Linked DNA regions of Mytilus edulis. The protein of the gene in region 1 purifies or fractionates together with the protein of each later gene. This does not show direct contact. Links are inferred from orthologs where the notes say so. Each region holds a gene or a part of one and is shown in the gene's direction. Other genes may lie near its edges. The genes, in order: 3-phosphoinositide-dependent protein kinase 1-like and 14-3-3 protein epsilon-like.

Region 1 (10,813 bases):
AAAACAAAAAGCTAATAAAAAATTATCATATAAGGGTAATCTATCCTATTAATGATTTCTGCAAAATTCAGTTGATTGTGCAAGGGTTTTATAGCCAGCTGAGGTTGTTAAAAACTCTCTTTCTTTTGTTGTTGCAGATAGATCTTGACCTGATAAACAATTTTACCACATGTCAGATTTGCTCTGAATGCTTTGGTTTTTGAGTGATAAGCCAAAAACTGCATTTTACCCCTATGTTCTATTTTTAGCCATGGTGGCCATCTTGGTTGGTTGGCGGGGTCACCAGACACAATTTTTAAACTAGATACCACAATGATGATTGTGGCCAAGTTTGGTTTAATTTGGTCAAGTAGTTTCAGAGGAGAAGATTTTTGTAAAAGATAACTAAGATTTACGAAAAATGGTTAAAAATTTACTATAAAGGGCAATAACTCCTAAAGGGGTCAACAGACCATTTTGGTCATGTTGACTTATTTGTAGATCTTACTTAGCTGAACATTTTTGCTGTTTACAGTTTATCTCTATCTATAATACCAAAAACAGCAAAATTTCCTTAAAATTACCAATTCAGGGGCAGCAACCTATCAACGAGTTGTCCGATTCATCTCAAAATTTCAGGGCAGATAGATCTTGACCTAATAAACAATTTTTCTACAAGTCAGATTTGCTCTAAATGCTTTGGTTTTTGAGTGATAAGCCAAAAACTGCATTTTACCCCTATGTTCTATTTTTAGCCATGGCGGCCATCTTGGTTGGTTGGGCAGGTCACCAGACACAATTTTTAAACTAAATACCCTAATAATGATTTTGGCCATGTTTGGTTAAATTTGGCCCAGCAGTTTCAGAGGAGAAGATTTTTGTAAAAGTTAACGACGACGGACGCAGGATGACGGACGATGGACGCCGGACGCCAAGTGATGAGAAAAAACTCACTTGGCCCTTCGGGCCAGGTGAGCTAATAAAAAGAGAAAACAAATGTCTACATTTATACAATATAAAAAAGATACATATGGCAAACTGTGACCACCAAAAACCCCTGGATGGCAGGTTCTGGCTTTGGACAATCATACCATACAGCAAATATTGTTAGCTTATTGCTTATAGTATCTGAGAAACAGATTTATCATGTTTATGTTAAAAAAACATCAGGGTTAACTTATAAAAAATGCCAGGACCTAATAGAGTGAAAAATAAAAAGGCAGAACAGAGAAACAGACCTAATAATGAAAACTGAACAATGACTAATGAACCATAAAAATTAAGTCAAAGTCATATTAAATAACCCTGCCAGACAACATATACATGCAATAATTCAATACACTAAATATAGTGGGCCTATTGTAGTAGGATCTGAAAAATAAATCAAACCACAAAAACTTAATATTGCTAATATTCAAAATCAATGAACCATGTCTAAAATACTAAAATAACTGTTTGACAAATATCATGAACTATCCATCAGAAGTTTTCTTTTAACTGCAGACATAAATGCAAACTTTAACATGTAAAATATCCAAATGAAACATGTATGAGGGCCAAGAAAGACCCCACAATTTTAATTGAAATTTAGTATGTACATTTAGCCACTAGTCAGATGCCTGGACAAGTAAAAAAAATATTCTGAATAGTAATTTTTTACAAAACATTATTTAAACACTCAGAAAAATGTTTAAAACTAGGTCTTCCAACCAGCAGTCAGAAAAGATTTGGTGCACACTGTACATGCTGGAAATTAGACTTGCAAATGCCAATACAACTCCATACTTTAAATCAGAGAACCATCTTAGACTGACCGAATATGGTGACATATAGTTGTTAATTTCTGTGTCATTTGGTCTCTTGTGGAGAGTTGTCTGATTGACAATCATATCAAATCTTCTTTTTTATATTTATCATAAACTTTAATATAAATATGAATGTAAACTACAAAAAGTTTCAATGTCACAAGACCAAAGTTCTCCAATCAAAGAGCTGATAGCTCTGAAGTGGAAGAAGGTGAATAAAAGGTAACTTGAATTACCATAAAAGCAGCCCCACTTACCCAGGCTGCTTTGTTCCATTATCGTTAAAATGTATTTTTTTTCTTCAAACAAGAAAAGGTCATAAGTACATGGATTTCCCATCCGTACAATCATTTTCTATGTTCAGTTGACTATGAAAATTAGGTAAAATCTTTAATTTGGCAGTAATTAAGAAGATCATATCAAGAGGAACACATGTGTACTAAGTTTCAAGTTGATTGGATTTCAACTTCATCAAAAACTACCTCGACCATAAACTTTATAACCAGAAGCAGGACGGACGGACAGACTAGAAAACATATTGCCCATAAATGGAGCATAAAAATAGTAAGACTTGTTACATACCTGCCAACTTTTGAAAGTTCCCATATGGGTTTTTACTGCACAACAACAAAATTAAAGGTTACAATTTTTAGCGATGTATTTTGCAAGATCTGGATTGTCTAGAAAAAGTGTCATATTTGTATGAACTTACATGACTTACATGCCTTTTCCTTAAGTCTGTTTGCATAATTCTAGTTATATATTAAATTGGTAGAAAAATTATACGTGAAGCTAGCAGAAGCTAGACTATTAGCCTAGTTGCACTTATTATATGTTGACTTTAAACCTGTTATAAACAAATTTAATATATAAACTTCAATTTAATCCTTGAAAGGAGGTCTAAATTAATAAAATAATTTATAAATTTTAATTTTTTTATTTGTCCAAAATCATTTAAATTCATTTAATCAACATCCTTTTATGATTATTTGATTAAAATATCAATCATTTATAGTCTTTTTACCATTTACATTTTTAAAAGCAAAATAACTGAAAACAGGATAAAACAAAGGGAAGTAACAAAAAAGTATTTCAATATTCCCAATACACATCGTTTTGATAACACAACGGCAGTTAGCCGGAGGTAAACATCGTTGATTACCAGTATGTTTGACACCCAAGCTGTCAAGTGAAGCCATATAATTATACATCTTCTTTGATGTTCAGGTAAAATTTAACACAGGTGTCAATTACACCCGTACAGTAGTAAGAAATGATCAAATATGGCGTCTGAAAAATTTCATACACGGGAGTTTTTTCTCCTAAACGGGAGGTTCACATGTATGTTACGAAGGGCATCTAATTCACATGACAAAGGAAACCCATGAATAAAGATAACACTTTATATATCCTTTTTATTTATATAAAAATAAAATCTTCTTGTCTGCAGGATTGCAAATTCGTAACTTCAAGGGCGAACTTGTAAACAGGGTGAGTTGTACCGATACCAAATTCACGCATGCGTAATACAAATATCTACAGTTAAAACATCCTGTTACAAGTAAACAAATTACGTGCATGTGGATGAGATGAAATCTAATAATTTACATAAATAAAAGGGTCATATTTACGATAGTGATTGTTTTACAATCATAATTTACAAATTAAATGATTCAGATGCTCAATCATGTATAAAAATCGGTGTCAGGAATCTAAGTTGTTTTGAAATTGTAATACACGAAATGAATGCGGCATACGGAGACTCAAAGCCAATGGTCGGCCCCTTAAGTCTTCAGAAGACTTGACGTCTTCTTCCACTAAAAATGTGGTCCAAGGTCCTAACAAACAAAATTTGGCAAAGGACTAATACAATTTTGGTATATTCAGTGTTTCCATAAGAACCGGCCGCTGGCCAAATTGACCGTTTCAAACAGTTATTTGGCCAGTTCAATCGTCATCAGTCAAAAAAAAATAGGTGCATATTTTACTTATACGACTATTCTATACGTCGTAACTTTATTATTATCTAGAGGTTTTATTTATGTTTGAGAGTTCCGGTTTGTATTTCTATCGGAACACATGGTCGTTATCCATCGAAAGAGACTTATAAGAAAAATCCCGATAGATATCGAGTATATATGCAAGTCATGCAATGTCAAGGTCATTAAAAACTTTCATTTGTTGAACTGTTGACGATGAAACGTTCCATCACAGATTTTTTCCCCGCTAAGCGACACAAAGGTTTGGATTTTTATGATAAAACAATTTATAACGTTTGCATGCATTATTTTTCAATTTGTTCTGTTGTGTTTTATAAATAGTCGCGAATGAATCGATGACATAATTGTCAATTTGGTTCAAATGCACTACGCTGGATCGAAGATTCGACAGCTAGTCAATATTCCCCGATCGGGAGACAGCCTCCAGATCTAGAGATGTCTCTATATTGGGAGACATGGAATACATTGTTTATCTCCTGATTTGATATGACCCAACAGGCCTGAATACTTCAAGAAAATATGGAAAATTTCCAACGATAAAGGAATATTTACAAATCATTATTTTTTACACATCATGTTGTGTTGTCTAAAGTCTATGAGTTCTAAAAACAAGAAGATTTTCATTCTTTTATTTGTATTTCTATTACAACTTAAATATATTACAAAATTATTTCAAAACAAAAGCAAGACATGATTATATAGAATAAAGTGTGCATCCTATCTATAATTAAAATTTCTAATAAATAAAATTGCTGTATCCAATACAGAATTTGAACAGTATACTCAATTTTGTCAATGTTTAAATTATAGCAGTATTCAAACTCTTAAAATTGTGCAGACAAATTTATTTAGAAAAAAAGTTCTGCTGGTAGTATGTCAATTTGACCAGCATGAAATACTGTCTTAAAATTCACCAGATGCCAGGATTTTGAATCTAGATTTCAATGAATGTCTTTCCATTGACCGCCTACTTATTCATTTTGGCCTGTTAGGCCAAAATGAATGGAAAACCCTGCATATTGCAAATTAATAGTAAATAAATAAGTGTGATTTATTTGATGTGAAATGTTTTAAAATGTGAGAATTTGGGAATGCAATCAGCACCATTTTTTAATTATCCTGTCTCCATTCTGTGCAGAAATGAATTCGATTATAACAAATTTGAAGTGACAGATAACAAGTCTGATACTCTGGCATCACTTTAAAACTACAGTGTACATGTATATATTTGAATGACATTTTATTGATATCACCAGAAACTATTAGGGTAATAGCGAGTACTTTTCTAACACATGTCAGTTTCTGTATTGCATCTTTATTGAATATGTTCTGATGATAAAATCAGCTATAATTTGGTAGCGTCAAGTCCTGTCAATATACAATGTATGTTCCTGGGCGGGTGCATAAGAAATTTATGATACAACACAAAACCTTTAAAAAGAGGTCATGTATAATTTGGATGCAAAAGTGAAGGGAGTAAACCTGAATGTGAGTAAACTAGATTTTGCTGAAGGTACCCAGATTCAGGTGCATCTGTTTTCAAGGCTCATTGTAAACAACTTGTGTTCTGATGGAGGCTACAAGTTGGATAATTTCACTATCAACTAGTATCAGCCTACCAGGATAGGTTTGGTTTTAAAAGAAGAAACAGGTAACTACCTTCACAGAACCTACCAAATTCGTACTATCAAATGAAATGGCTTTAGGAATATAGACACAAGAGATAAAGTTATGTTTCTGAGTTCAGACAGTTGCAAAAACAGTGACAAAATTTGCTGTAAATTATTTACATGGTAAATACTTATGGCATCTGTAACATTACCTAGTACTTTAGATTTATTGGCAATCAGATCAGGCAATTGACAAGTTATTGTCTTTTGTAGATCTTGTTTCTCGTATGAAAAACAACCTCACATTTGATTCCGGAAATAGGTTCTGTCATCCGCCATTCACGAAAGTCCCGGATGTTGTAAATGCTATAAATAGATACAAATTTGTTTTGTGAATATCTGATATATAAATGCTAAATGAAAGTTGAATTATAAGTTACTTTATGCATACTATTGTTTGAATTATGTATTTCTCCAAAACATTGAAAAGCCGATGCAATAAGGATGTTCATCAGATCTTGCGCAAATGCGCTTGCGTTTGGTTACCTTTCAACTTCCGGATTTGACAAAAATAAGAAGATGCCGGGTTGAAATTTTAAAGAAAGTGAATTAACTTTGTATTTAGACTTACTTTGCGATAACAGATATGTGTTTCTAACTGGTAATTGAATGATCCATACCACAATCATTTTGGGTGATTTTACGTTGTTTTAACAGTGAATTTTGCATACACCCAAACAAATGTCCATTCCCAATATCTGTATAATGAATAATTTTGATGACAGTACTCTTTCAAAGGGTGTGACTTTTTGTTTCATTTCCCTTTCCATTAAAAAGATAAATATGCAAAGATTTTCATTGTAAATTTGAAGTTTGGACTGACAAATTTGTATAGCACATGGATAACTTTCACTAAATCTGTTGGATGTGTACAGTTTGATACTTTAGTGTCTGATACACTTTATGGTTATTTAGAAATTTGTCCTACTTGACCAAAAAATCTGTCTTCCTCTAACTTTTGATGTCAAACAACAATCACTTTTCCATTGTCATGTCAGATAGTTTCTATTATAACGTCACAATTTTACGGGAACTTTTGTGATGCCCAGTCAAAGGGAACCAATAGAATAAGGTGTATTACTTACTTAATGATGTTTTCCGGTACAGGATCCTCACGGTTCCTCTTCACCAGACTCATATAATTGAATATTGTCTCCATTATTTCTGATGCTGCTTCCAGTTAATTCAGCTCGATAATCAGAACAATAGATTTCTTCGTACTCCCAGTATCTATCTAGTCTATTTTTGAATGAGTTTATAGATGGCGCTTTAGTTACTTTATCTGGTAACTTGTTCCATAATTTGGCTATTCTTACAGAAAAACTGTTTTCCTCAGACTTGTTTTGAATCGTTGGTGAATGATTTTATTACTGTTTAGTGAAACAGTTTACTCTTGTGCTACAATGTATGTCTATTTTCAGTGCTTGAAATTAATTTAAGGAAAGAACTCGTTTCTGGATCGTAATTACCATTTAGTATCTTATATGTCTCAATCATGTCCCCTCGAACCCTTCTATATTACAATGTTGCCAGTTTTTTCAGTCTTTCCGGGTAGCTCAGTTTATTGAATCCTGGTATCTGTCGTGTTGCCCTTTTTTGTACATTTTCGATTTTGTCGATGGATTTCTTTTTAAAAGGTGACCATACAGAGCTAGCATAGTCTAAGTGTGTTCGCACTAATGTTTTGTATAGAGGTATGAAGATTTTTTCGTTTAAGTTTTTAAATGTCCTTCTAATTGCGGCAAAAGTTGAATTAGCTTTGTTCACTTTTTCGCATATGTGTCTTTCAAAGGTTAGATCTTCATCAATTACTACTCCAATATCTTTCTCTTCTTGACATTTACTTATATCATGACCTAATAGTTTGTAACTTGTCTTTTCTTCTCTTACCCCTCTACTTATATTTATGTGTTTGCATTTTTCTGGATGGAACTTCAACAGCCATGTATCACTCCATTTCTCGAGATTTTTTAGATCATCTTGCAATATAGTTTGATCTGTTTTGCTTTCAATAATTCTAAAGATTTTTGTGTCATCTGCGAATAAGTAGGCATCTGATGTCACGCAATCTGGCAAATCATTTATGTATAGAACAAATAACAGGGGACCTAATACTGAGCCTTGTGGAATTCCCGATGTTACATCTTTCCACTCTGATGTATTAGTGGGGATAACCTGATTTCTTTACATGCTGCTTTTGGCTTTGAACTACTTTTGTAACTTAGTGTACTCTTATATCTGCTTTGTGGCTAATGTTTATGTTAGTTGTTTATTGTGTGCTCCATATCGATTTATTTAGTCCTATGACAGTGTTCCAGCTAGAATTTGAAAATGAGTGGCGGGTTTTTAAAAAAGGGCACTTAAGCACGTTCTCACTGAAAAAAATCAAATACTTAATATAACCACATTATGACATATTTTTAGCAAGCATGTAGCTAAGTTCAACAGTCTATACTATTATATACTAGTTTAAAAATCATTTATTTAGAATTTATAAGTTAAAATCAAACTGAGAGCACTAATAGTCATTACTATATTCATTTCTCTTCCAGAACTACAGATTTTTTCAAAGAAGAGTTCAAATGCAAAGAAATATAAAAAGACATTGACAAGTTTTCTGTTTTTCTTTTTGAAGAAGGTTGTCACACATTGATCAAGAATTTTTTCAAATTTAACTTCATCACAGTTTAATTTTACAGTTAATATTTTTGTTAATGTCTGTGTTTTGTCAACTGTTGATCCAAATATGTCAAGTGGTGCAGAATAAAAAATAAAACTTACAGAGCATCCTTCACTGCTTTTTGTGCACCAGGAGACATATTAGAAGCCATGTCATCAAGGGTGTGTGCCATATCTAAAGTTATTGCACATTTATGATGTTCACGATCTTGATGGATTTGTATCTTATCTTTGCGCAACAGTTTATAACCTACAGTAGACCATGTCTGACTACCATTACTTCCGTGTGATTGATGCTGGTTACAAACTTTGCAAAGCATGACATCAACTAATGCTCCATCCTAACTAAAGTCTTTGTCAAAATGTAACCAGGAATACTGTTTCAACCAATTATTATTTATACCAACTTTGTGTTTCCCACTAGGATTTCTTGTTCGTGTGGAGGGTAAGCATGGTTAGGATTTTCTTGAGTTGCTTCATTTGCTTGTATTTGTGGTTGTATAAAGTTTTGGCTGTCTCAATTACAATTTCAGGGGTCTTATTTCCATCATTACTGAAAGGAGATAGGGAGAGTGGGGTAATCTTTACATTGAAAATTGAGTAGGTTTGGTTGTGAATTTAAATAAGAGTGTCAATGAGACAAATGTCTTTATTTCGATCTTCAGAAATAGCTTAATTCAACAAATAAGTTTGTTATTCAACTGTGAAAGGTTATAATCAATTCAACAAGCATCTCCGTATAGTTCATGTTGAGCTTATCTAATAATATCAATATTAAAGTTAGTCAAAACAGATTTCAATTTAAGAAAAATGATATAAAAATCGGACTTTTGAGTGCTCCGTAATTGGCGGAATTTACAATAGAAGAACAATTGCAATAGTCAGCGGTGGCGTCCGAAGACTTGGTTTTCACACTCTAACTTTAGTATAAGTGAATAGAAATCTATAAAATTTAAACAGAAGGTTTATGACCATAAAAGAAAGGTTTGGGATTGATTTTGGGAGTTTTGGTCCCAACTGTTTGGGAATTATGGGCCAAAAAGGGCCCAAATAAGCATTTTCTTGGATTTCGCACTATAACTTTAGTTTATAAGTAAATAGAAATCTATGAAATTTTGACACAAGGTTTATGACCACTAAAGGAAGGTTTGGATTGATTTTGGGAGTTTTGGTCCCAACAGTTTAGGAATTAGGGGCCCAAAAAGGGCCCAAAAACCATTATTCTTTGTTTTCGCACAATAACTTTAGTATAAGTAAATAGAAATCAATGAAATTTAAACACAAGGTTTATAAACACAAAAGGAAGGTTGGGTTTGATTTTGGGAGTTTTGGTCCCAACAGTTTAGGAATAAGGGGCTCAAAGGGTCCAAAATTAAACTTTGTTTGAATTCATCAAAAATTGAATTATTGGGGTTCTTTCATATGCCGAATCTAACTGTGTATGTAGATTCTTAATTTTTGGTCCTATTTTCAAATTGGTCTACATTAAGGTCCAAAGGGTTTCAAAATCAAACTAAGTGTGATTTTAACAAAAATTTAATTCTTGGGGTTCTTTGATATGCTGAATCTAAACATGTACTTATATTATTTATTATGAGCCCAGTTTTCAAGTTGGTCCAAATCGTGGCCCAAAATTAAACTTTGTTTGATTTCAACAAAAATTGAATCCTTGGGGTTCTTTGATATGCTGAATCTAAACATGTACTTATAATTATTTTTATTATGGGCCGAGTTTTCAAGTTGGTCCAAATCATGGTCCAAAATTAAACTTTGTTTAATTTCAATAAAAATGGTATGTATGGGGTTCTTTGATATATGCTTAATCTAACCATGTATTTAAATTTTGATGTTTGGGCCAGGTTATAAGTTGGTCCACATTGAGGTCTAAAGGGTCCAAAATTGAACTTTATTTGATTTCATCAAAAATTGAATTCTTGGGGTTCTTTGACATGTTGAATCTAACCATGTATTTAGATTTTGGATATTGGACCATAATAGGTAATGTCCAATTTAAAATTTAAAGTTTTAAGTTTAAGTTCTTAGACCACATTCATTATGTGTCAGAAACCTGTGTTGTGTCAACTATTTAATCACAATCCAAATTCAGAGCTGTATCAAGCTTGAATGTTGTGTCCATACTTGCCCCAATGTTCAGGGTTCAAACTCTGTGGTCGTATAAAGGTGCGCCCTGCGGTGCATCTGGTTAAGTTGGTTTTCTTGTTAGAATTGTTTTCCATTTTCACGTTGGGCCGTTTATAGCAGACTTCATGGTATGGGTTTTACTTATTAATAAAGGCTGTATGGTGACCTCAGTCCTGGTGTACTATTCAGTGTCTATTGAGTGCTGGCTAACTTATTTTATAATGGTGAAAATTAATTAGAATTTGCTTTAATAAATTATGTGTTGGTTATGAATTATTTATTGGCTAAATGGCCCATAGAGTTGCATATAATCTGAAACAAAACATCAAAAAGTTTTGATATAATTTTAGTACATTGTATATAGATTTGTAGAAAACAAGTTTATAAAGTTATTGATCATTAATTTTACTTGTCCTAAGATCAAAATTAACATGCTATTTCACATTATAGGTATATATTGATCGGAAAAATGTCTCAAATTCAAGAGGGAGGTGATGGCAATAAAAAGCCAGTGAAAAAGACACCAAATGACTTTATG
Region 2 (10,586 bases), on another chromosome or scaffold:
TTCCTATCACTTTAATTGGTCAATTTTATTAGCGAATCGTTGAATTTGTAAAATTCGTCCAATTAATGCCAATTTGACAATGGCACCAACCCGTTCCTTCGGTGCAAAGCTATAGATAGAACGGCGGACCAGTTTAGGGCTGGTGATACCCTCGGGGACGATTTGACGGACCGTCAAATCGTCCCCGAGGGTATCTTTCGCCCCTCTTTTACCTTAGCACCATTTGGCAAAACCTTTCGGGGATTTTTCAATCTAATTAAGATTAAATCCTTGAATTGCTCTTGTTCTGATATGTCGCGCATCAGGGACAAGAGCAATTCAAGGATTTAATCTTAATTAGATAGGGGATTTTTGGGACGTCCGTATTGTTGGCTTACTTCGTATTTCATTTGGCTTAAAACCTTCTATGATTAGAGCGATACTGATGAGTCTTTTATAGACGGAACCAGAGGTGGATTTAGGGGGCAGGGGGCCCGCCCCCCCCCCCTTTTGGGGAAAAAATTTGGTTGCTTATATAGGGAATCAATGAAGCGTGACTGGAGCGGGCCCCCTCTTAGGTCAGTCAGTGGGCCCCCACTTATGAAAATTTCTGGATCCGCCACTGGGAACTCCCGTCTGATGTTCATTATTATTATTTTAGTAAGCCTGATATCATCAATGTTTTTCCCAATTTGTAATAAACCATTTACTTAGTTTTGTCTACTATTTGAAACCCGTTATAAATACAGAAATATGGGCGCAAACGTTCAGAGTGTTTTGCTCTTCAAATATATATATATATATATAGTCCGGCGTTTGAATTTGCGCCGATTTTTTCTTTCATTTGCGCTGATTTTTTTTTTTCAATTGCGCTGATTTTTTTTTATTTGCGCCGATTATTTTTACAGGTAACTTACAGGTGAATGTTATTTTCTATTTATCATTATCACTGGTGGTAAGCGGATGGTCGTAACTAAAAGTTACTAAAAGTTACGACCATCTGAATATGGGAGACAACTATAGGGGTAAGTTTTTCTTTTCCGATTTTCGTGCAGTAAAAGGTTCATTTGAGTCAAACCGCTTGTCTCATATACACATATGTGAGTGCATTCTTATTGAAACCAAATTTGACACATAAAATCATTCCAATTTTCGTAAAATAGTCATTCAAAAATTCGAGCATGATGGTCGTAATGTCAACTATAGTATTTTGGATGATGGTCGTAACCGACACAAGATGGTCGTAACTTTGAGAGATGACCGTAACTCAAGTATTTAGACGAACTTTTATCAAGTTATTTTAAAAGTACTGTGCACATGCATAACCATGTTAATAAACTCAGTTGTTATATAAAGTTTACTACAAAAAATATTATTTCATTTGTTACTCTGATAATGGTATGCAGAAATTAAGTTAAAGAATTATCAATCATACATTTTTGATATGTTCCAAACGACCATCGTTTAGGAGAAACAGTGAAAACTAATCAACTCACATTAAGCCAAATAGTATGTTAGGGTTGAGTATTAATATATTTTTACTGTACGTTAAGGCATAAAATTGTTGAATATTTGCTTTCAGAATTTTTGACCCGCCCCTGGAGAATAGGTGCATTATATTGTATGCTCAAAAACATGAAGGCTGTTTTTTAAACTTGAATTCAGTGACAGAAAGTCCTTGCGTAGCTTATGGTAGGCTTTTAACGCCTGTTTTTAAAATAAAAAAATCATGTTTGATATGTCTGCCTGTCTTGTTAAATACTATGGCTTGGTTTTATTGGGATTAATTTTCAAACAACGATCTTAATCCATCAAGTTTACTTTGAAGTCCTTTTGCTGAAGTAGTAAAATGGCAAGATCATCAGCATATGTATAGTAAAGAATAGGCTGGTCGTGAATAAACGACAGCTGGATCAGGGGAACTTTTAACACAATCAGGAAGTTCATTTATAAAACTTTTAAACAAATTTGGACTCAAATTGTCTCCCTGTTTTACTCCAACTTTAGTTCTAAAGAGATCTCTTACCATACTCTCTAACTATATTCAATAGCTTAAGTTTTATCCCTGGGAGAATGACAGTATTAAAAGCCTTCTGGAAATCATCAAAGCAAGCAAACATTCTACCTTCTTTTGTATTACAATACTTATTTATAATAGTTTTTAGAATGAACATATGGTCAGATGGTACCGGTCATGTTTTTTTTTTTTTTTTTTTTTTTGATAAACCCAATTTGGCTCTCATCAATGATATGATATTTATCTAAGGATTTACAAAGACGTGTATCAAGTATCTTATTAAAAAGGCTTCCTCAATGAATCAGTAATTGTAATTCCTCGGTAGTTATTAAGATCGGATGCATCATTCCCTTTATGAATTGGGAATAAAAAACGTTTGGTCCAGGGTTCCTGGTATTTTTCATAAGAAAGATAAAGATGTATAACGGATAGCATGGTACCAATAGGCGTATTCAGAATTTTCAAAAACCACGGGTAATAATTATACCTGAACTTCGAATTTGCACCTTATAATCAGCTTGACTATATACCAAATGACAATACGACTTCTCAAAATCCAGGCTAAGAATAAGATGTATGTTGTTTAATTCAATTACGGACCTGCGAATTCGCGGATATGGTCTCCAACGATCCCCATAACATTATTTTGACTCCTTACTTATGCTCTTTCGACTTAAAGTATCAATTTTAAATTGTAGATTTTTCTTTTAAATTCCACCTAGTAGGTACATACTAGTTTTTAAAAAGTTTATCTTTTCAATCCATGCAAAATATAAAGAAAATAAATCAGGATACTGTTATTTCATGTGATGTCAAATTTGTTAAAAATCGCCTTTTCTTAATTCGTAACTAAGAATGATCATAACAAGAGCTGTGTGTTAAAATGAATTCTCCACTTTTGAGAATTTATATTGTTATTAAACTTAACAGCTTATAATTAGTTGCCTCTTGGTTGATTTTATACATTATATTTTAAGTAACAGTGACTGGTCATTTCATTTTGTATTGGTTTTTTTTTTCGATTCGTTCCAATTTTCTTTCCTTTCGCACTTTACAGGTATCCCTCTCTTCACCTCTATTAGTTTTTATCATTTAGTGAAATCAACTTCACAAATATATCATATAATATATTCATATAACAAAAGACACGTTTAAAACTATTGACTTGTCTTATTAGGTCCTATTTAATAAAGAGTTACGACCATCACAATTTTAAGTTACGACCATCCTGAACATTTTTGTTTTTTTAGTTACGACCATCATGCTCGAATTATTGAATGATCATTTTACGAAAATTGGAATGTTTTTATGTATCAAATTTTGTTTCAATATCAACGCACTGACGATTAGTATGTATGAGACAAGCGGTTTTACTGAAACATTTTTTTACTGCACGAAAATTGGAAAAGAAAAATGTATCCCTAGAGTTGTCTCCCATCTTCGGATGGTCGTAACTTTAAGTTACGACCATCTGCTTACCACCAGTGATTATACGGCCTCTTCCGTTAGCCAGTTGTACAAATGTTATGAATTACATATATAACTGTTGTCCCCTCACTCCAGGGAGATGGAAGTAGGATTAGATTAAACTACATTCAATGTATAGTGCATGCACAAGTATTTACTCGCCTATTTATGTTAAAATATAAATGCAACTAAGCGCAAATATGAAATCGGCGCAAATGGAAGATTGTTTTTTTTTTATTCGGCGCTAATGCCATACGCCCTACAGTCCAAATACGTCAAATATGCCAGAAGACTTCTTTTATGAGTTATTGTCCTGTGACAATTCTTTACCTTTTTCATTTAAATATTGCCTATTATCTTGAAAACTATAATAGAAAAGAGAAGCTTTAAATTGCAAACATGATCAGCAAAACAAGTTCTACAAATCATCATCTAGTGGAAATCGTCTGTCGACGCCTTATTAAAGTTGTTGCCCTTTAATTACGATTTTTACCATTTTTTTGCGTTTTCGCCATATCAACGTAAATAAGCAAAAATTATCAGTAGGCCAAGAACTTAAATTAAGACAATATAGGGGAAAAAATTTGACCACTCCTTATTGGCGTTATTGTCCATTGACAACGATTTTTACCAATTTTTTTTGGCATTTTGTCTTTTATATGGTTAAGATTGTAATAGATAAAAAGACATTTTAAATCACAAAAATTATCAGCAAGTCAAGAACTAACAAGTCAAATTTTGCTGTGTAACGAAATTAATAGACTGTCCAATCTAATTAAAACCTGATCTCTCAATATCAGAAAACGGGAGCGATGAGAGATCGGTTTTTAATTAGATAGTAGACTGTCCTTCTTTTTTCTTAAAATGTAAAATTAATAAATCTTTACGTAAGCAGCTTGAAAAAGATATAAATAATATATGTCCAGAATACTTTAAATTGTCTGAAACAGACAGATAACAATTAATTCTATCTTCATTTGATATTATGCAGCTTACTGTTCCGTTCATTAAAAAGTCATTTGCACTGAGGGGAGTGGACACAACGCCTGCATACTGAATATTACTGTTTTACCACTTTATATATGATGTTTAATATGTTAAATTTCCATTGTGTATATTGTATTGTATTTTTTGTATATACCTTCAACCCCCAGGGGTATAAATGTGCATTTCATAAATAAATTTATAGGAGAAATTGCCCTTAAAAGAGGACTGTTGACCCCTCTTTTGTCAGTGTTGTAAGCAAAAACGTAAGAATTAAGAAAGAGAGAAACTAAACCAGACTGAATGATTAGCGATACAATTCAAGATCAACATAACAGAATTTTTTGTCATGAATTTTATTCTCGTCTATAATGTTGTAGAATGTCCTTTGTTGAATATGCACATAGACTTTAAGGTGAGTGACACAGGCTCCGCTATCGATCCTCTGTTTTTTTCTTCTTCAAATCTGAGTCATAACTCTAATGACAAACAAACTTTTACCATTATGTTAAAAAATTCTACTTTTAGCTCATCCATGATTTTCTTTGCACCCAACATGGCTCGATATTTCTCACTATGCTTTGACAATTTAACGGATATACATGTATACATGTATGACTCTGATAATTTCCTGCGGAAACACATAGGACAATGTATGACTTGTTTCACGAAAAGAACAGAATTTGAGGGAAAGCAATGACATAGACCTGTGGCGTCTATATGGTGCAAGTCTATGATGCAATATGGAAGGGGCCACAGATCTGAGGGAAGGACACATTTTTTAGGCTGGACACAGATTTGAGGCTTACATGTATAACATATAAAAAATGCAATTAAGGCGGTCATAAAAATAGCCCAAAAAATCAGCGCCGTTTAAGGCGGTCATAAAAATAGCCAAAATAAAGAGTTTCAGGCGGTCATTAATCGTGGCAAATCCTGCATGATATTTTCAAGCATAAAATGGAGAGCAAAGACTTCCAAATAGGAGACACGCTCCCATTAATTTATGAATAGTGTATGATAAGCCATTTGTTTTCCACAACGGCTACCCCTAAATCTGCCTCTAATTACGGAATATGGAAGTTCAGAGGCGGGTTGGGTTCGGACAGAGGTTGTTCCCTAAATAAACTGAAACCTTTAAAGCTAGGATTACATAATCATGGATACTATGGTAAATGCATACTTAAACCCCTTTCTTTTTATGCAAAATCCTCAGAATTCGGTATTTTCTTAAAATAAATTCAGCATTTCATTGAAATATAGCCGCTATGACAAAACTGCATTCTCGAAGAGATTATTTCCCTGAATTGTACGATTGTAGATAGCCTGGACCGTATTAAACTGAGTTGCCTTGAAATGACACGAGAATATTGATCAATATTAATTTAAAGACACATATGTTGTATGACAACTGACTTATGATCTGATTAATCAGATTGACTAAAATTTGCCGACCAGCTTGAACCGGAATTGCTTAGCAGACAATGATCTGACTAACACATTTATTTAAAATACTTCTTCTCCGCAATGTTTTCCATCTGCTCAGTGATTTTTCAAGTTAATGCGTTAATTTTGACCTACAAAACGCCGGCTGCATATTTTCAGAGGGTCTTTCACGAAATAGACATTCTAGCTGACAACCTAGTTAACGCAACCTCCTCCCTTAGTCAATCGCTGCGTCGTATTTGTTCATAAAAATTTAAGAAACTGTGAACAGCAAGAAGCGAAAAAAAATCAGTATTATATGTAAGAAAATGTTGTGTCTAGTTGCTTTTTATGATCTTTCAATAAATTACTTTGTTTTGAAAAAAGATTTTTTGACATAAATGACTAAATTTGTACATTTTTTGCATTCATATTGAAGTCAAGGTCACAAATTGACAATCGTAAAATTATTAATATATCGTACTACGTCCGTGTGCAAACGGTGAGTAAATGAATTAATCATGAATGGGCTTGTTCCCGCGCATGGATACAACCGTTAGTAAGGAACTACTTTCATTGGCGGCATCGGCCATTTTAGAACAGTTTACGATAGTAATTTACAATCTTTCTGAATCTTTGCTAAATTGTGGTCATCGAAATGGCTGATAGAGAGGATTTAGTTTACATGGCCAAGTTGGCTGAACAGGCCGAGAGATATGATGGTATTTATTCGTTTACGATACATGTCAACGATTCAATCAAAATATGTCGGCTATCTTGCATTACTTCCTCTCGCATAATTTAAGACGAGGAAGCAGTTAAAACTTCTATTGTATGCCTCTTATTTACCTTTATGTCTGATTTTCTGATTGCATGTCATGTTTAATACTTTACTGGTAAATGTTTTAAACTGTTTTTGTCCGTAGAGGATAATATTTGCAGTTGTGTCCATGGATATTGACATGACACTGACGGTCGCCATTTTGGGTGATTCTAGTTGTTTCTAAATGCAGATTTTGAATATTAAATGCCAGTAAACTGTTCTAAATAAATGTAAAATATGCACAACGTCCATGTATCGTTAGGTTTCTTGAAGTTGAATCTACAATTATATATTGTTTTGCAATGGTGTACATTTGAAAACCATTTGAAATGTATTACACATTTGAACAGTTATTCTTTTAAACTCCCAGACATATCATTTAATGTTAAATGGTCTACCCTTCTGACTGCTCATAATTCAACGAGTTTTCCTTGCATGTGTATGATATGATAATGTTCAATCCACCTGCAGACAAGTTATAACTTTTGATTGTAATAATATAGGAAATAAAACTTGAAGGAGTGGCCTTGGTAGAAACCTAATCTGCAAATTTTTACTATCCCAAAATACTGATTTACTATTTCAATGGTGTGATGTTCTATAAATAATGCATCCATAGACATACAGCCAGTCCGGAAATATGTCCTGTCAAAAATCTGCCATTGTATATACATGTAGTCCAATAAAACGTCTGATTACCCTTTATTGGGTTTGTCACCATCTTTTCTAATAAACATTGATGAAACAACTATTTGGTAACTATCTAAGGCCCAAAAGAAGTTCACTCAATGATTGTTCAACCAAAAACTGGTCTTGGATACCATTTTTGTTCGCTGTTATACTAGTCTGTCGCTTCCACCCCATACATGTATGTAATGCAGAGTTGTCCAGAAGTTGTTACGATCTTATTGGTAATATTGGCCAGCTAACTTTAAAATGCCAACTTGAGTAAGTGAGCTTATCTTTTGGTTGATAAAATCGAACCATAAACTCTAAAGGAAACATTTATGGCGCTGACAGTTTAACCTTTAAAAAATGCTCATAAAAATCAATGCAGGCAGGCAAAATATAAATCATGATCAACTGACTATTATTGCGGTATGTAACAGGAACCAAACCTATTTTTTATTTTGTAAGCTCTAAAAGTCTTCACTATGCACTTTTGTATCCCAATGAACATAAAACACCCCTTTCATTATTAATTCTAGGAAGTCTATAGAGCTTAAACTGTTGCTTTATTACAAAATAAAAAGATTTCTGGTATCCCTACATACCCCAACATAGTCTTCACACATGGCCACAGACTCTGCATCCAAGGCTTGTAAAATCATCTCTACAGGCCATAAGTGTAACAGTAAATTTGGTCCGGTAGTAAAATTTGTCCTCCAGACTTATTTTCCTACTTAATCAAGTTCATGTCCATGATTTTACTAGTAATATAAGTCCTAGGACAAATGTTCCTAGGAAAATAAGTCCATAGCTAGTAAATTATGTCTAGCACTTGTTTTTCTAGGAAAAATTGTCCTAAGACTTGTTTTTCTTTAGAGTTTTATTAAATCATAAAATATATTTAAAATAGATGAAAAAAATGTTAGATAAGATTGGAGAATTTCCTTATTTTTTTCCAATTAAAATGAAGGACATTTTCTTTATAACCTAATTAAAACATGAATATTGAATTCCCATTGCTTATAACATTTTCTTTTATAATAAAAGACATGGACATTTTTACCTAGGAATACTAATGACATAGACATGATTTCCTAGGAAAATTAGTCTGGGGACATGAATTTGATACATACAACTCTTTAACAATATTAAAACATATTACATTTATAATTTTATATTCACCTTTTAAAATTAAGGGCAAAGACATTTTAACCTAGAACTATTAATGACATGGACATGATTTCCTAGGAAAATTAGTCTGGGGACATGAATTTTATCAAAAATATAACTATGCAATTCTTAAACATTACTAAAACATAACATTTAAATTTCCATGGTTTAAATGTAATTGAATTTATTATATGATTTTAAATTAAAGGACATGATTACTTAGGAAAATTAGTCTGGGGACATATATTACTAACATTGGACTAGATATACTAGTAAATTCTGTAACCATGGACTTATTATACTAGTAATGTTTGTCCGCCCAGACATATTTTACCAGGACAAATTTATCACTAACATATGCATCTTAAATAAAATTATATGAAAAAGCAAGACCTAGCAATCCAACATTCCGTCACAAATATTCACTCTGTTAAAAGTTTTTGAAATTTAAATAACTTTCTAAAACTATCCTGGATTTGTACTAAACTTAAACAGAAGCAAGTATATGATTATAAGATAGTATTCAGCAGTAAATTTTGTAAAAATTCCATTCTGTGTTTTACTTATAAATGGACTTAGTTTTTCTGCCTGGAAACAAGACGTTCACTCTGAGGTTAAAGTTTTTATACGACCGCAAATTTTGAAAAAATTTTCGTCGTATATTGCTATCACGTTGGCGTCTGCGTCGTCGTCGTCGTCGTCCGCCGTCCGAATACTTTTAGTTTTCGCACTCTAACTTTAGTAAAAGTGAATAGAAATCTATGAAATTTTAACACAAGGTTTATGACCATAAAAGGAAGGTTGGTATTGATTTTGGGAGTTTTGGTCCCAACATTTTAGGAATAAGGGGCCAAAAAGGGCCCAAATAAGCATTTTCTTGGTTTTCGCACCATAACTTTAGTTTAAGTTAATAGAAATCTATGAAATTTTGACACAAGGTTTATGACCACAAAAGAAAGATTGGGATTGATTTTGGGAGTTTTGGTTTCAATAGTTTAGGAATAAGGGGCCAATAAAGGGCCCAAATAAGCATTTTTCTTGGTTTTTGCACAATAACCTTAGGTTAAGTAAATGGAAATCTATGAAATTTAAACACAATGTTTATGACCACAAAAGGAAGGTTGGTATTTATTTTGGGAGTTTAGGATCCAACAGATTAGGAATTAGGGGCCAAAAAGGGACCCAAATAAGCATTTTTCTTGGTTTTCGCACTATAATGTTAGTATAAGTAAATAGAAATCTATGAAATTTAAACACAAGGCTTATGACCATAAAAGGAAGGTTGGTATTGATTTTGGGAGTTTTGGTCCCAACAGTTTAGGAAAAAGGGGCCCAAAGGGTCCAAAATTAAACTTTGTTTGATTTCATCAAAATTGAATAATTGGGGTTCTTTGATATGCCGAATCTAACTGTATATGTAGATTCTCAACTTTTGGTCCCGTTTTCAAATTGGTCTACATTAAGGTCCAAAGGGTCCAAAATTAAACTTAGTTTGATTTTGACAAAAAATGAATCGGTTGGGTTCTTTGATATGTTGAATCTAAAAATGTACTTAGATTCTTGATTATTGAAGTTTTTTTGGTCCAGTTTTCAAATTGGTCTACATTAAGGTCCAAAGGGTCCAAAATTAAACTTTGTTTGATTTCATCAAAAATTGAATCCTTGGGGTTCTTTGATATGCCAAATCTAACTGTGTATGTAGATTCTTCATTTTTGGTCCTGTTTTCAAATTTCAAATTCTACATTAAAGTCCAAAGGGTCCAAAATTAAACTAAGTTTGATTTTAACAAAAATTGAATTCTTGGGCCTCTTTGATATGCTGAATCTAAACATGTACTTAGATTTTTGATTATGGGCCCAGTTTTCAAGTTGGTCCAAATCAGGATCTAAAATTATTATATTAAGTATTGTGCAATAGCACGTCTTTTCAATTGCACAGTATTGTGCAATGGCAAGAAATATCTAATTGCACAATATTGTGAAATAGCAAATTTTTTTTTAATTAGAGTTATCTTTCTTTGTCCAGAATAGTAAGCAAGAAATATCCTATTT

What was found.
Region 2: the proteins of 3-phosphoinositide-dependent protein kinase 1-like (region 1) and 14-3-3 protein epsilon-like purify together in Homo sapiens (affinity purification with mass spectrometry; 3 studies listed by BioGRID and IntAct, with this or other methods). This does not show direct contact. The link is inferred for Mytilus edulis from reciprocal best matches to the Homo sapiens genes PDPK1 and YWHAE.

The regions. Positions count from the first base shown.
Region 1 is NC_092352.1:32,967,298-32,978,110, forward strand, and holds the start of 3-phosphoinositide-dependent protein kinase 1-like, read left to right. Parts: upstream 1-5,906; 5' UTR 5,907-6,055; exon of another isoform or gene 6,056-6,088; intron 6,089-10,725; 5' UTR 10,726-10,744; coding exon 10,745-10,813. UniProt on the Homo sapiens protein: Serine/threonine kinase which acts as a master kinase, phosphorylating and activating a subgroup of the AGC family of protein kinases.
Region 2 is NC_092349.1:66,416,055-66,426,640, reverse strand, and holds the start of 14-3-3 protein epsilon-like, read left to right. Parts: upstream 1-6,359; 5' UTR 6,360-6,530; coding exon 6,531-6,594; intron 6,595-10,586. UniProt on the Homo sapiens protein: Adapter protein implicated in the regulation of a large spectrum of both general and specialized signaling pathways. Binds to a large number of partners, usually by recognition of a phosphoserine or phosphothreonine motif.